Caenorhabditis elegans: one gene and its partner. The protein of the gene in region 2 purifies or fractionates together with the protein of the main gene of each other region. This does not show direct contact. Each region holds a gene or a part of one and is shown on either strand. Other genes may lie near its edges.

Evidence for each region. The genes of interacting proteins can lie anywhere in the genome.
Region 1: the proteins of ZK1010.12 (region 2) and AH9.6 fractionate together in Caenorhabditis elegans (co-fractionation; one large-scale study listed by BioGRID). This does not show direct contact.

The regions. Positions count from the first base shown.
Region 1 is NC_003284.9:2,266,471-2,270,225, forward strand, and holds the start of AH9.6 (uncharacterized protein), read right to left. Parts: upstream 1,669-3,755; 5' UTR 1,576-1,668; coding exon 1,456-1,575; intron 1-1,455.
Region 2 is NC_003281.10:12,989,323-12,993,077, reverse strand, and holds ZK1010.12 (Secretory peptide), read right to left. Parts: upstream 1,782-3,755; coding exon 1,687-1,781; intron 979-1,686; coding exon 864-978; intron 820-863; coding exon 669-819; exon of another isoform or gene 618-668; coding exon 586-617; downstream 1-585. Other genes in the region: col-97 (Nematode cuticle collagen N-terminal domain-containing protein), read left to right, coding at 1-142, 208-398.

The DNA.
Region 1 (3,755 bases), on a different chromosome or scaffold from region 2:
TGACCTTCCTCACATATGCATAACATATTCTGTCGGGTTTTGAGTACGTAGTGACTTTTTTCATGAATATATGCTTGACAAGTGTTTCACATGGCTCGCATCAACTAAAATGGATGTGGTGGTCGTTTCTTTCCTTTTCACAATAAAATATGATGGAAGACGTCAAATAAATACATGTGTATGTATATATCATTTTTTTTGAGTCGCGTGCCTTTTTGTCTGCATAACTTTTTTTTTTGGTCTACAGAGATGAGCTGACAATTTGGAGGAGAATCAAAATTACTCCTATGCTAAAAATACATTTCAGGTTTTTTCTATAAATCTCAAGAAGTTTAGGGAGTTTGCAAAATGTTTTTGACAATTTTGACAATTGTTGATTTCAGATCAAACTCTTCTTTTCACAAAGTTTTTCGGCTCCTCAGTCCTTCAAAAAAAAATTGTGAACTTTTTGCGACACAATAAACGAGGGTCCTTGAGCAACCTGGAAGGAAGCATAAGCAGAAGAAAGGCAGGGAGGGGGGACACAATTTCTTTTTTGTTGTCGCCGAGGAATTTCCTTTTCTTCTATTTGTGGTTTTCAATACAAAAGAGAAAAGGAGTTTGAGTTTTTCGGCTTTCACAAATTGCGTTTACGGGGCGGCGAGACGATGTTGTTCACCTTGTGGTTTCCAAAGGAGACCACAAGAATGACTAATGTCGTTCACGCAGTTCACCGGGTAGGTCTTGACTTTAAAATTTGAGTGTCAAATTTTGAATCACAAGTCAAAAGTTCGAAACTATGGGGTTTCCTCCCTCTAGTGCACAATTAAATCTCTGAAAAAAAAACTCGAAATTCGTCATTCTTCCGGATATCGCCAGAGTAAATCTAAGACTACGGACACAAAAAAAACAACGATTGTCTTTCACTTGATTGGTTTCATAAGGATGAGCAAATGCTCAATATGCAAATAGAAAAAAAAAGCACGACGTCTTCGTCTTTTCCACGCGGCTTTCCTTTCTCATCCTTCTTCCTCGACGAGTTTTGGAGGGCCGTTCAACTTTTCGCAAAGTATATAGAAAAAGGAGAAAGGAGGAGAAGTATAGTGGAAAAAAGTAGGATACGGCGCAGAAAAAATATATATATATATATATAAACAATAAAGCAATACTGAGCAGCAAAAAATAATTGGGTTTCTAATTGCAAGGTTTACGAACGCTTGAGTGATTTGTGGGGCACATGGAACGAAGGCTACCCCTCCTAGGGCAAAACAGAGGGAATGTATAATTTATCTTATTTTTGCATTTTCAGAACGAACAATGCTAATTATTTTTCCTTTTTTCTCATTCTTCCTACCTCAGTTTTTCTAGAAAAGAAATTGGAAATTTGAAGCTAAAGCTTTTTTGGTTCTTAAAAGTTGAGGGGAGATTTTAAAGTTCAGCAAATAAAAAAATAAAACATGAAAAAGTTGAACTCACAAAACTAGGTTCGGTGATCGGAGATGGGAAGTTGCATGGTGAAAATATGGGAGGCACAGGAATCTGACCCCCTTGGGCATAGACCGTCAGAAGGCAGATGACGAGTAGCTTGCGCATCATATTGCCATGAGAGTTAGGACATTGTGTGCTCCACACCAATAATATGCTCTGCCAAAAACGACGACGGCGGCGGCGACCGACTGATTCACCAAAACCCGAGGAGTTGCTCTCTGTGTGCTTCGCCCGACGACGGTCGTGTCCGAAGCGCGCGCAGGCAGCGCCGCCAATGCGCTCCGCCCACTTTGGCGCCGACTGAGGAGGCTAGGAGACATTGGGCAATAGGAAAACGGGGGGAAGCTTATAGTAGTGAACACTGGACTTGAAAACATTTCTCCCAAGGGGTACGCCACACACTAAGAGAATTCACGATTAACGTACGTACAAACATTCTATTTCGATACTTGTTCTTGCTCTTGTCCTTGTTCTCAGTGACAAGTCCAGGTTGCTTAATTGAGTTTTTTTCTTAGAGAAGTGCGTCTTTCCTTTCCTTTTTTCATTTTCTTCATACTTCGCACTTTTTATAGCTAGAGACCAAGTTTTTGGAAGTGATGTATTGGGTAGTAATAAAGTTGAGTACTCATGAATATTAATGGAAAGACGAGTTAATGATTGTAAATATTTCTGACGCGAAAACACAAGATCTTTCAGAAAAGGAGTGATCTATCTTCCAAATACAGGGATTCAGTTTTTTTGGTACCTGTCTCAGAAATTTTTTTCAATTTCCACTCACCTGATAATTTAATCAAAATGGGAAATTGATTTGCATTCTCAGGTTAAGAAAACACTAATACTAAAACTAAAAAATTACGTTGAATTTTAAAAATGATAAACATATTTGGTGCAGGTTTACCTTGAAAGTACCTACATTCATTCAGTATCACAAATAAATTCTCGAGGTATTCCATTCAAAATTTGTAGAAGTCAAGATCCCAAAGTAGTGTTTCAAATATTTACTCAAATTTCACCCCATATACTGAGAATGTTGAATTATTCATTACTGTGTACTCTCTCTCTCTCACGCCTAGAATTTCAGAAATGTTTCTGCAGTTTTTTGGACAAAACCGAATCAAATTTTATCTGGTCCATTTATTTTTTTCCATGCTTCAATTTTATTTTAAAAAGTGAAAACTCACTTGGCAACACACTATACGTCATCTCATCTAAAGCTTCATTTGAGACGGGCGTTGCCTAGTCTTCCCGAGGGAGATCTCAAGAAAATGTGCTCTCTGAAAGATTGCAACTCGCGCTGCTGTTGAATTTCATAACTCACGGGGAGGGCACCTGCAAATAAAGTGCATTTGAAAAAGCACGCTTGTGATTAGGAACCAGATGTAGTTGTGCTCTCTTCCAATTCTCAAGTGTAATTCAATCCAGCACGGAGGTAAAGGTACTCCATGTCATTTTAGAGCACTCTTCGCTTTTATTGGCGTGTCTCTGATGCACTTACTACAAACCACAAAGCACCAACGAAATTCAAGAGGGGACGGAAGTCAGGCTCGTACGCGTCTTCAAAAAAAAAATTCCGCAACGTAGTCTGTTCATCTCTTTTACACATACTCATTTTGACTCGTTCTAACTAAATCCAACGAAACACTTTTAGCTCCAGGTTTTTAGAAGCTTTGCAAGACAAAAAAAACCGGGCCGAAAAATAATTTCCTGTAAAGTCATTGTGCAGTCGGAGACTCCTAAAAGAAGGAAAGCAATTTTCCACAAGAAAACGACAAAGAAGCCACATTCACAATGAACCGAACCATTTATTGCTTTTGTAAGTACCAACTAATGTTAACTCGATATTAACTTTACGATAACACAGCAGTAGTGGAAAACAGGAAATTTGGAGGAAATTTCCGAAGAAAATTTTTTGAAGGGAATAAGCAGAGGTAAACGTTTTTCGTTCAATGACTTTATTATTTCAAACGACGGGAACACATTTTCCATCATCTTCGGAGCAAAGAGGGTTATTAAAATGCACGTTTTGTTACAATAAAATAAATAATTCAAAATGAAACTCGGAAAATGTTTCATTCATTGTGATTTTGAGGATAAATTTTGTAAAGTTATAAAACATTGAATTTTTCCGTTTAATTAAAGGCGGAGTGCGGAAGTATCATGGTACAACTTTTCAGAACAAAAATTGGAGAATTTTTATTTTAAGTCAAAAAATGGCGAAAACGGAGTTTGCGCCACTTCTCGAAATATCTAAAGCACTGGCGCATGTTTGAACCCCAACATTGCTAAAA
Region 2 (3,755 bases):
GGAAACAACGGAGAAGGAGGAAGAGATGGACCACGTGGAGAGCAAGGAAGACCAGCAATCTCCACTCCAGCTCTGCCAGGAGATCCAGGAGCACCAGGAGAACCGGGACCATCTGGACTTCCAGGAGATCAAGGACAAGCTGGTAAGTATTAAATATCAATTTTATAAGGTTCAATATCATCAAAAAAATTTTGTTTTTTTTTTCAGGCCGTCCAGGATCCGACGGTGCGCCAGGACCACAAGGACCACCAGGTCCACCAGGCCAACAAGGTCATCCAGGACAAGCCGGACCAGCTGGCCAACCAGGACAGCCAGGACCACAAGGAGAACGTGGAATCTGTCCAAAGTATTGCGCCTTGGACGGAGGTGTCTTCTTCGAGGACGGAACACGTCGTTAAGATCGTTAAGATCCGATCACTCATTAACTTATCTCTTCGTGGTTTCCCACCCACGCCTCTTCTTTGCCTTCAGAGTTCGGGTAAATCCGTGCTGTCTTTTCTCGTTTCTTTTCAACTGTATTTGTACATTTATGAAGAATTTGCAACTTCGTATATAAAATCTAGTCGTTTATAGAATTTAAAAAAATCAATTATTTTTCGGCTTGTTATGGAGAGTTTCTGAAAAGTATCATATGTAGGTATTTTGAAACTTTACAATAAAGAACTTACTAACGAAATTGTGCAAATCAGTCATTGGTAAGTTGGAATCAGGTGTTCCGTCGTACTTTTTGTACGGGTAGATCATTCCACGATCCTTCCATTTTGAGAGCATGCTCAGCACAACTACACCAGTTGAATAGTGAGCACAAAGCCCGAAAATCTATAAATCTGGAGTAGTTACTTAGAAGTAAGAAGGACGCTTACCCGACAGAAAACATTATTCTTCGGGCTGACTTCTTGGAATTTCAAATTATTTTTCCACTCGACGATTCGATTTCGTGGGCCTGTTGGGATGGGCTCTTCCACTGGCTTTTTGGGTCTGAAAATATCCAGAGTTTGACCAAAAAATACATGAATGGTTGCACCTTTTTCCTAGAGTTTTCCAAACCTTCCAGAACTTTTTTTAAAAGTTTCCAGAAATTGCTGTCTAGAATGTTTTTTATTCTGCCAAATTTTTTCCCGAAAAATTTAAAATCCCGCCAAACTTTTTTTGAGGACAATTTCAAATGAAATCCCTTGAAATTTGTCTCTGATAAAATTTCAATTTCCGCCAAACTGTTTCCCAGAAAATTAGAACCCCTCCAAAATTTCTCTCAAAAAATTTGAACTCCCGCCAAAATTTTTCCCAAAAAATTTGAAATCCCGCCAGGCTTTTTCCCGAAAAATGTGAAATCCCTCGGAATTTTTTACTCGGAAATATTCAACCTCGTCAAAATTTCTCTCCAAAAAAAAAATCAATTACCGCCAAAATTTTTCTTAGAAGATTGAAATTTCAGTATTTTTCTAAAACTACAGTAATCCTAAAGTACCCCAACCCTATCCCTCCATTGAGCTCAACCCAATATCCTTTCAAAAAAATATGTTTACCTCAAACTACAGTAACCCTACAGTACTCTTACAGTACCCCAACCCTATCCCTTCACTGAGCTCAACCCAATATCCTTTCAAAATAAAAAATCTGTTTACCCAAAACTACAGTAATCCTACAGCATCCCTATAAGGATATATATTTTCAGAGTGTGCTCACCTGAACTGTGGTAAATCAGCCTTGGTCCAAATCTTTTTCGCATCAGCAGACAGCAAAATAACTATAACAAATACGAAGAAATTCGGAAAAATCATGACAGCTGACAATTATTAAAATTTGATTTAAACTGTTGAAAATGAAAATGTTGAAGTGTTTTGAAGGGAACACACGAAGTGGCATTGTCCAATAAACAGGTATTTTTGTGACCTTTTCCGATACTTTAAAGTAAAAACACAAAGGTTCAAACAAATAATATTCATTTAAATCAATAAATTAATCAATTAAATTGCATAATAACAGTCCTTCTTCCAGAAATTAATTCCGCAGACCAATCCGAAAATGAGAAAAGTGGTAGGGATAATGGTGTATAGAGCAATCCAGAGAGGTCCATAGAAGTTCAACGGTTCAGGTGTGAACTGAAAAAAATATTTTTTTGAGGATTTTTTTGACTATTACGGGAACACAAAATTCAGTCAAAAAAATTCAAAAATTCGCCGCGCAAAATTGTGTGCGCCTTTAAAAAAATTCGTTACCACAGTAACGAATTTCCAAGTTTTTTTAAAAGATTTTTTGCACTTTTCTATGGATCTTAAGCCATTTTTGTGTATTACGGAAACAAAAAATTCAGTGAATGCGTATTGCACAACATATTTGACGCGCAAAATATCTTGTAACGAAAACTACAGTAATTTTTTAAATGGCTACTGTAGTGTTTATTTACGAAAATTGAGCCCGTAAATCGACACAAGAGCTACAGTAGCGGCAAACGATCTTTGCCGGAATTAAAAATTTCTGGCAAATCGGCAAACCGGCAAATTGCTGGAATTGAAAATTTACTGCAAATCGGCAAACCGGCTAATTACCGATTTGCCGTATTTGCCGAACAATTTTCGACAAATTGTGGTTTTGCACCTTTTTTTTGGGAATTTCAGAATTTCATTTCCAAATGGCAAAACGCATCCTATGAATGTTCTTTCATCTATTTTGAAAAGTAAGCAAATTCTATGAAAATATCTAGAAAAAAAATCGAAAATGAATATCTCCGGCATATCGGCAAACCGGCAATTTGCCGGAATTAAACACTTCCGGCAAATCGGCAAACCGGCAATTTGCCGATTTGCCGACTTTGTCGATAAATCAATTTGCCGAACGGCAATTGCCGCCCACCCCCCATTTTTTGTAGATCTACGTAGATCAAACCGAAATGGGGCACAGTGTGGTTGCACAGAAACTGTTACTGGAACACAAAATTTTGAGAATGCGTATTGCGCAACATATTTGACGCGCAAAATATCTCGTAGCGAAAATTACAGTAACGGAAATATTTTATTAATCGATTAAATATTGAAAGAAAAAACAAAAATGACAAAAAACACAACAAAAAAATTCAAAAGAAAATTGAGTATTGCTGTCACAATTTGAGCAGAAATTGAAATTAATTTCAAAAATCAAGCCCGTAAATCGACACCAGAGCTACAATAGTCATTTAAAGAGTTACTGTAGTTGTCGCTGCGAGATATTTTGAGCGTCAAATATGTTGTGCAATACGCATTCTTAGAATTTTGTGTTCCCGCTTTACATATTCACGACTATACACTCTACTAGAATTTTTTTCTAGAATTTTTGAATTTTTTACATTATTTTTTAGTTCAATTATGGCTTTAAAATCAGAAATCAGAAATAATAATACAACATACCATAGGATCCACAAAGCAAGTGCCAACTGAATTAGTGAATACACATACAGATGTACTTGAGCAGTCCCTGAAAAAATCCAATTTTCAATCAAAAAATAATCAGACTTTTACCGGTTACTCCCACAATATCTCTCTGTGTCAATGTTATCCGACCCATCTGCCATATACATTCCAAGAATTGCTAATCGATTAGTGTCACGTGTGCAAAACGTGTAGCGGAATGGCGGAGCCTCGTAGGGACTGCATTTTCGATTTGTATAATAGGGTCTTATTCGGCGGGCTACTGTAGATCCGTGGACTTTGTCTGAAATATAGTTTCCAGTGTGGAAAGTTTTAAAAGATATTTTTAAAGATAATTTTCCGGCAAACCGG